Rattus norvegicus: one gene and its partner. The protein of the gene in region 2 interacts with the protein of the main gene of each other region in a biochemical or structural test. Links are inferred from orthologs where the notes say so. Each region holds a gene or a part of one and is shown on either strand. Other genes may lie near its edges. The genes, in order: Arf3 and Arfip1.

Region 1 (4,556 bases), on a different chromosome or scaffold from region 2:
TTTCACGTTATTTTTGTCTGGAAGCCAGAGAGTAACTCTGGAAGAATCAGGTCTCTCCCTCCACCACGTGGGCCTAGGGCAGGAGGATGGAGTCAAACTCAGGTCTTCAAGCTTGCTGGCAGGAGCTCTTATCCACTAACCCACCTAGCCAGCCCCTCGGTGACCTTTCTAAGGAACACTACTCTGAATCACCACGCGCCCTTACATCCGAGAGGACGTTCTCAGCCCCTGCCTTGCCCCAGCTTCACTTCTTGTTGAAGCATCAAGAGCTAAAGCTATAAGCTGACACAGACAAGAATAAGGTGCTACCACTCAAAGGACACGGGGGAAAGTCGCTGTAACAACTGTCCCTTCACACAGGCCCATGCCGCTCTTCTGTGAACTTGCTTTTACAGCAGCCCCAAGTGTTGGTGTCATGCTATAGGACGGCTACAACTGCAGCTAACACGTACTAGGTGTGTGCTCTGTACAGTACTCAATAACTTACATTTGCCATTTAACTCCCATGACGCTGCCCTCTTTATGCACAAGGAAAAAGGAAACTTAAGTGTGAACAAGAAATTTATCAAATACATACAACAAGACAGCATGGGCAGGAGGTAAGCCCACCCCCATCTGGTCTGCTCCTACAACCCAGCTTCAGTTACTGTGGCATCTGGCCTCTAAAAGCACCATTAGCCAAACACATTGGTGTGTTCTGGCTGGAAGGCCTCTTGGTATCTATTTCCAAAGTCAGGTGAGGAAGCAGATTCCACAGTTTCTGTCAGCTACAGCCTCGGTTTTAAAGAAGTCTCTCCTTCTAATCAACAGAGAATGCCTCTGTCCTTTAATTCTATTTCCCCTCATTGTAAGTGCTGAAGAGGGTTTAGATGAACACATACTTAAGGTTTGAGAACCTCTCTAACAAGATTTCTCAACTGTTCAACCATCTCCAATGTGTCGGGGTTTTTGTTGGATTTTATTTATTTTGTTTTGTCTGAGACAGTCTTGCTATGTAACCCAGGGGGGCCTAACTCTACCTGCTGTCTACATCTTCCTAGCGCTGAGATGATAGGCCTGCCACCACACCTGGCCCTCTTTACCTCTTCCTTAAGCAGTAGCTAGAAACCTTGCACACTTCTACACATTGCTATCCCATGTTGTTCTTATAAAAGCAAGATTCTTAAGTTCGAACCCAGCCTGTCTGAAAAAAAAGGAAGTGAGGCTCTGTGGCGGCTCCCAGGTCAACCTCAGCGCCCAAGAGACAGAGAGGCACCAGCTGTTCGGTTGAGGCGAGCAAGGGAACTTCACAGAGAAACCTTGTCTCAAACAAAGAAGTAAGGGAGGGGGGAAAGGAAGGAGAGGAAGAAGGGAAGGAAAACTGTGCAGGAGTGATTATGTGACACTTTTCCAGCTGCCTCCAAGGTCAGTGACTCGTTCTGTAAAAAGCTGAACCTAAGTGGATCTTTCCTAAGTGGCCCTTTCTTTTTTTTTTTTTTTTTTTTTGTTCTTTTTTTTTCGGAGCTGGGAACCAAACCCAGGGCCTTGCGCTTCCTAGGTAAGCGCTCTACCACTGAGCTAAATCCCCAGCCCCTAAGTGGCCCTTTCTTAAAACAGCCTTTAACAATGTATTCAAGTGCTGGTCCAATATGCGAAAGACCAACCCATTGGCCACTCACTGCAGCACACCCCCAAACAGGTCTCAGACAAAATGGCAGCAAAGACAGTTTCTATCTACCTGTCTGGGGACAGAGATGGAGGTATGCAGAGACTAGATTCTTTCCTGTTGCAATGACTCAAGCAATCAGACTCCTGCAGCAGATCTCCTCCCAATAAAACTTTCATGCCATGGACCCAAGGGTGACCCAATCCAACAGCGGCAGAGACAGGTTTTACATTACCCGTCTCCCTCACCCTAATGACCTCACTATTTTCTTCTTAGTCCTGACCACATACTCCTCCACCACATTCTTCCTGGCCCAGAGACCAGCGGCAATATAACCCCCAGAAAGAATCAAGTCTCTCAACAGAGAGTTACGACTTAATTAAAAGACCCTGAGTTTTTAACAGGGAACATTACCTCCCCACCTCCCCCTCCTTCCTTCAAAGGACTGGCGTAAGCAAAGGCTTCATTTTCTGTTCCGGGAATCCTGGTACTTCCTAGAGAAAGAAAGCGGATTGGAAGACACAAACTCAGGGCCAGTGACAAGATGCTCCCTCCTTCGGTGAGACCGCCCCCGCTACGCCTGGGGGAGGAAGGCCCCACCTCTCTCCTCCAAGCTAGCTCGGGTCCCCCTCCCCCTTCTCCAGCCTCCTCTCCACCCTCTCCCCACCTGCTGCCCTCTTCCCAACCTGCCCTGCCCAACACCCCAAAGCAGAGCGCAACCTCCGTGAAAACCGTGCGCAGCCGTGCCCCCTCAGGAGGCCCTGATGCTAAGCCCCGGCCCCCATGCCTCGCGATGGGTGAGGGGGAATAACCACGGCAAGGCTTTTCTTTGGTCCCCCCACAGCTCAGGCGGGGGAGGGAGAGAGAAAAGGCAGCATTCCTCACAGCCCTTAAACACAAGGAAAAAGATCCTAACAGACACACCGCCCCCGCGTCACCTCCCACCGTGGGTCAGTTCCCCCTCCGCCCCAACCCTCCAAAGCTCACCTCTGCAGCCCAGGTCGCCCCCTCGGGCGAGGCCGAGGACAAATCCGTGTGCGCCCCCCGCCCCCACCCCAGCTCGGCGTCCTTCAGCTGCGGGGGCAGGAGTGGGACTGGGGTCCCCAGCTCTGCGAGGATCGCCCCCTGCACCTCGCCAGGCCGTGAGAGGCGGACCGCGACGAGGGACCTCGGGCTCCCACCCTGACCCAGCCTCTTCCCTGCCCGGACCCGCCTTCCCTCTCCAGCTCCGAACCTGTTCCTGCTCTCTGCGCCCCGGCTGCCACCGCCGCCTCCGCCCCCGCAGGTTCCGCCTGGCTCTCCGGCCGCTGCCTCCCGCTCCGCAAGCCGACCGCGGCGTAGCTGGTCCGCTGGCCCGCTCCCGGCGGCTCCCTCCTGCCCTCCCTCCACCTAGCACCGGAAGCCGCGACGGCGACAGGAGCTGTGCGGCGAACACCCACCCCCAGCCCGGGATACTTCCCACCTCCACGATCGCGCGAGAAGTGCGCGCTAGCGAGCGGCAGTTCTCGCGAGACCCATCACCATGGCAGCGGCTGCAGCAAAAGCAGCCGGTGCTGAAGCTGAGTCTAGGCGGGGGCCTGTGTGGGGGCTGGAGGAGCCGGAGGCACGGTGTGGAGAGGAGGCTGCGGGCACAGAGGTGAGGCTCCCGAGCTAGCTCCGGGGCCTTGCCACGTTCTGGCTGCCCTGGCCACAAGGCTCGGGCCATGGAGTCTCTGGGGTTTCTTAGAGCCTCAGTGGGGTATGGATAGCGAAAACGGTTGCTGTAACCTATCCTGGTCCAACTTTTTCCTAATAAACAGCGCTTCGCACGCACCCCACCTGCTAATCCGCTCAACTCCCTAATCCCTAAGGATACTTTCTTGGAGATCCTTTCTCATAAAGGAAGAAGAGAAAGAACGATGCATTCGAGATCGTAGAGGAAACCATCATCAGGATGCGGGTCATCTAGGAGGCTGAACTTGAAAGACAGTGGGCAGAAACTCAGAGACAGCTCTCATGAAGTCTCTCTAGATGAGTCTGGATTTTAGTATCCCAAGGAAAGAGGACCCAGGTCCCTGCCTTCCTTTCTTGACACTCATCTTTTGACATGACGGAGACACTGCCTGAGACTAGCCACAAGTTACATTAGAATCTGTGCTAGATGGGTCGTCACTAGAAACACTGAACACCGCTTTCTTTAAATGCATCAAGTACAAGAGCTTGGTGCAACATTAGGACTCGTCTCTCCTTCCAAAACATAGGCTGGAAAGTGACCGCTCAGTGTCTATACCTTGTCACATCCGTCTCTGGGCTATACCTTTATACCAGTTTGCCTTCTCTTGTTTACCTCAAAAAAATAACAGGACTGGCTGGGCGGTGTTGGCACGGGCTTTAATCCCAGCACTGGAGACTCGGGATGCAGAGGCAGGTGGATCTCTGTGAATTAAAGGCCAGCCCGATTTACAGAGCATATTCCAGGACAGTCAAGAAAAAGAAGGTAGGGGTTGGGGATTTAGCTCAGTAGGTCCTGGGTTCGGTCCCCAGCTCCGAAAAAAAAAGAAAGAAAGAAAGAAAGAAAGAAAGAGAGAAAGAAAGAAAGAAAGAAAGAAAGAAAGAAAGAAAGAAAGAAAGAAAACGAGAAGGTGAACTAAGACATAGACAACAAAGAGCTTGTTGATAACGAAGAAAACCATATTGGTCCCCATTCGGGATTCACTGCTGTTGAAAGCCTTTGTTAAGCTCTGGGTTTTGTTTATTTTTTTCGTTTACTAACGTGTGTGTGTGTGTGTGAGCATGCACACACGTGTGCTTATATGAGAGATTGTGGGTGCCCTTGCGCCCCTAGCAAGATGTGAAGGTTAGAGAGGACATCTTTCAAGAATCAATTCTTGACTTTTCCCTTGTTTGGGCAGGATCGATCTCTCCTTTCTGC
Region 2 (4,601 bases):
GCTACTAATCTATAGGCCGTTTATCTATGTTACAATATAACATTCAAGGAGGTGTTCACCCGCCAAGGAGTAATAGAGGAAAAGATCCCTCATGTCTAAGATAATCAAAGAAGATATCTCCAAGTCATTCCACAGATTTTACAATGGAGTTTCCTAGAAGTTACCTAAAGTCACACACCTAAGGTCAACCCTGCCTCCACCAGAATTATTTTAAGCAAATTATCTTAGCTCTATGGGTCATTTAGGTTCAGTAAACTTCATCTACAACAGTAGCTCTCAACCTTCCTAAAGCTGTGACCTTTTAACAGAGTTCCTCATGTTTTAGTGACCCCCACCAAGCCATAAATTTATTTCCATTGCTACTTCATAACTGTAATTTTGCTACTGGTATGAATCATCATCTAAATATCTGTGCTCCGAAGGTCCTAGTCCACCCCTGTGAAAGGCTCCTGGGACCCTCCCCCCAAAGAGGTCATGACCTACAGGTTGAGAACCACTGATCTAAACAATGAGGAGGAGGGAGCATCCTTATAAGGTTGCTAGAAGGATGAGTTAATCATGAAAAGCACTTGGCACCATGGACATAGCAAATAAATGTATTAAATATACCTGTCACTTCGGTGCTATCCAGAATCTAGCTTCTAAATTTGCTTTTATTTCACAAGCAACTAGCTTAGTTAGCACTGTCTGCTCCACTAGGTGAGGATGCTACCCTGAGGGAAAATCATGACATTGTTGAAGAGAAGACAACTTACTATAAGCTGCGCAGGTAACACTGTGTGAATTGAACTTCAAAATGTTACAATTTCAACTTCCAAACACTTCACAGCCAAACCAGTAAGTAAAATGTGCTCCAAAGACTTACATAAAGCTTGGAAAGATCCTCATTTACAAGAAACAATAAATAACATACATAATACAGAATGAAGAGAACGGGGTATCAAAAATGCTGAAGCCATGTGGACTACATAAGACATCTTTGCCCTTCCTTAGGGAAGCCCAAGGCAGACATCTCTCTCCAGTTAAAAACAAGATAATGAAAGCCTAGAACAACCATCATTCCAATGCTTTCTTCTGAGTTGTACCCAGAGGACTGGTGATAGTTAGTATGCATTAAATAATGATAAGCACATCAGTGTAGAAAGCCCCTGTATTGACAAAGCAATGGACACAGCCAGCTATCCCTAAAAAGAAACCTCAAACCCACAAATCAGGAACTGACTTGGTTCCTTCTATAGGTCCAGGAAGGAATGTAGAAACATGGCAGTTTTTTGAAGTAGTGAGATTTCAGTACCAGGCTGTAATCCCTGCACTCTACTCTGTACAGCACCCAAGTAGGCCATGTGCAACTCGGGGAAACAACAGCTCCATGAATAAACTGTTTCGATTAGCTTCAACAAGACATTAAAACATACTTAATCTTGCTGGACATTACACATGTCCTTTAAGAAGTTGATAAAAGACTGCCTTTACCCAGAACACATATACAAACAGCACAGAATTTCAGGGGTAGGAATAGAAACCCCCTGAAAAATCACTGATACCTAGACTGAGACCGAACCCAGGATTAAGGCAAGCATAATCCAAGAAAAGTTAGCATTTTGTCAAACAGGAAACAAAGTAACTCAGGCAGAGCCTTTAATTCAGAAAATCATAGTGGAAATGTGCTGTTTTCCTATATACTAAGTGTTAGACTTTGTAGTAAGTGTTGGTCACAGTGAAGAAGGAAAACAAAAACGGAAATTAAAAGCAAATAAAAATAGAACAAATATAAGAAAAGAGTACAGCTGCAATACTTGCTCTGAAAGAGCAGCAATGAAATACAGCCATTCCTGCAGCCTCCAGAGAATTGACCAACCATCATCAGTCTGGTGCACCTTTCTTCAACAATCAAGTTAATCAGATGGCAAATGTGAACACACCTTCGCAGTTGTGAAAGCAACACGTTGATGAAAAGCCCTGCAATTCTTTTTCATTCTTTTTTTTTCCTGATCAGATAAGAAGCAAGTAAGTATACTTCAGGAAGGACACACAGAAATCCTGACAGGGTGATTAAAAGGATCTGCAGGAAGTGTAAAGTATAAACCTTTTGAGATCAGAGGATTCAAGAGGAAAATAAGAACAAAGCCAAGGAAGCAATAACAGGGGAGAAAGTCTAGAATCTAAACACTTAAATTAACACACACACACACACACACACACACACACACACACACACACACACGCCTCCTTTCCTAGACACGTAAAGTGTAGTTAACTTGGCAATAAGGAACGCACCAGAAGGCAGGGCCACAATTTCCTTCTCCAAACTCCAGCATTCCTAGGACGCCCTCACTAGCACTCAGGCTTGGGACCTTTCAGTCGGGGCGCCTCCCTCTGCACCAGTGTCAGGCAACCTCTCCGAGGGCTGATTGCTACCTCCCTTCCTCTCACAGCAGGAGAGAGGAAGCAGGAGACTTAGGGAAGAACGGAGGGAAAGGCGGCCCACTTGGACAGAGTCCAGAAAGACCCGGACTCTGCCAACTTTTCCCACCCACCGCCAGCACAGTCAAGCGGTGCCGCCCCGGGGGCCGGTGCTGCCCTATTTCACTCCAGAATACACTCAGAGGAATGGGGCGGACTTGGCTGCTCCCAGGGATGGAAGTGCCCAGGAGCAAGTTTGGCGAGAGTAGCCGTAGGCGACTCGTCCGTCCGGGAGCATGCCACCTCAACCCCATCCTTTCCGCCGCGGCTCCGCCCTCACCTGTCTGTCAGCAGGGAAGCCGGCAGCGCTCCGTCGCGGGTTCTCCCGGTTGCAGCAGCTCTCGGGAATCGCGTCGGCCTGAGGCAGGAGGGACCGGAAGCGCGACCGGGAGCTTTTCCTTCGTCTCCTCCCCCACGCCTCGGGGGCGGGGAGCAGCTGCGGCTGTCACAGGCTCTGGACAACCAACCGCCGAGGACACTTGCACCGGCGACCTCTCAAGCCGGCCTCCAGCGCTTGCACCCTACCCGCGGAGCCGGAAGTGAGAGACCGGAAGTGCGGGGTCTTGAGCCCCGGACAGCCTCTCTCTAGAAGCCAAGCCGGGACCCGCCACGTCTCTATGGTGCGCGCGCCTCTCCCTAGGGGCTGGGTCCTCTGGACTCCGCCCCGGGCCGCAGCCCTGTGAACTACATCCGGGAATCCGCACGGGCCGTTGCCCGGGTAACCCGGTTGCGGCGTGGAGCAGAGTCACTAGTTTGCAAAGTGCAACCCACCAGCCAGACAGTCTGTCCTTTTCCCACACTCATAGTCCGTGCCTGGAGGGTGGAGGTGGCCGCAGCTCACCACCGCGCAGCCGAAAGTTTGTCAGCCACGGGAGAGACCGGGCGGGAGGCGGAAGGGATGGAGCGAAGATGAATGTACACCCGCTGACAGCACGGAAGCCCGGTCCTCGCTTTCCTAGGTGTCTCTCTAGTTCTCCGCGACCAACGCACTCGTACCAATCTGTGCAGAAAGACCGGCATCCGTGAGCGTGCGGTTGTAGCACTGTTGCTGTGCTCCCCTTCCCCGCTGCTCTCTGACAGTGGCTCAGGGTACTTTTCTTCGCTGCTCTTCTCTTGCCAGCACCCAAGATCTGCCTTCCTGCTCATCCCCTCTTAATTAGATCGCCGTCGCCCTGTCCACAGAAACATTTCAACTATCCCTCTCTCAGAGCTCTTCTTGGCCGTTTCCTACCAGTCTTTGGGGTACCTGCGAGAGTCTTTCATATCCCCAGCGGCGCTATATAGAAATGTGCCAGAGCACATTTCCATTGAGTTCAATATCCCTGTACTGTCTTCCTCGGACTGGTTAATAGTAACACTACATACAATTATTTACAAAATGCACCACATACATTTTAAACCTAAAATGTATTGTATTGTCTTAGATTGCCAGCACATCAACTCTTACAAAAACAGTGTTGACATGCCCAAGCATAAATCTTGTGTAAAAGGGCCTTCCCGTTCTGAAACTGATCTATAAAGGGGGGCGGTGTGCCAATTCACTCAAACCGTAACTATCCTGCAGTATGTTGTGAAGTTTCCCACTCAAAGCCATCCTCCAGAGTTGGAACCCATTAGTCTTCGCTATTATTAGAAAGGGGCCCCTGTCTAGTGCAACTCCTGCTCTCATTCTGTAAGAACTGAATAAGACTTGTAGCTAAGTGCAAATGTCATCTATAGGGCTTCTGAAGGGTGACTTGGAAAAGATGTCTAGCAATGCCCAGTTGTGTATGAATGGTGTGGACAGTTAGTATTTATCAAAACTGGGTGTCTCCTTAAGGATGTCTGATGATGTCTCTTTACATTTAGGAATACTTGGCTTCTTGTATTGGTCGTTTGTCCTTAAGTGGTATACTTTCTCTGAGAATTGCTGATAGTTTTTAGGATGGCTCTGATGGACTTGGAACTAAGGCTAATTTTATTTGAAAAAGATGCTACTAGTTGCTTATTCTAAGTAACAGTAAATTTTCACTTCCTTGCTTTTTTCTTCTTGTCTTCTTTCTCTCCTTATCTTTATTTTTGTCCCTTTTTGCCCCCAAAGAATTCTGTCTACCCATTCTGCTTAGAATGAATAGAAGATTCCTATTCCTCTCAATTGA

The links.
Region 1: the proteins of Arfip1 (region 2) and Arf3 form a complex in vitro, tested with the Homo sapiens proteins (2 studies listed by BioGRID). The link is inferred for Rattus norvegicus from reciprocal best matches to the Homo sapiens genes ARFIP1 and ARF3.

Annotation. Positions count from the first base shown.
Region 1 is NC_086025.1:131,787,909-131,792,464, forward strand, and holds the start of Arf3 (ADP-ribosylation factor 3), read right to left. Parts: upstream 3,072-4,556; 5' UTR 2,880-3,071; exon of another isoform or gene 2,633-2,879; intron 2,140-2,632; exon of another isoform or gene 2,060-2,139; intron 1-2,059.
Region 2 is NC_086020.1:172,218,348-172,222,948, forward strand, and holds the start of Arfip1 (arfaptin-1), read right to left. Parts: upstream 2,819-4,601; 5' UTR 2,744-2,818; intron 1-2,743. UniProt on the Homo sapiens protein: Plays a role in controlling biogenesis of secretory granules at the trans-Golgi network. Mechanistically, binds ARF-GTP at the neck of a growing secretory granule precursor and forms a protective scaffold.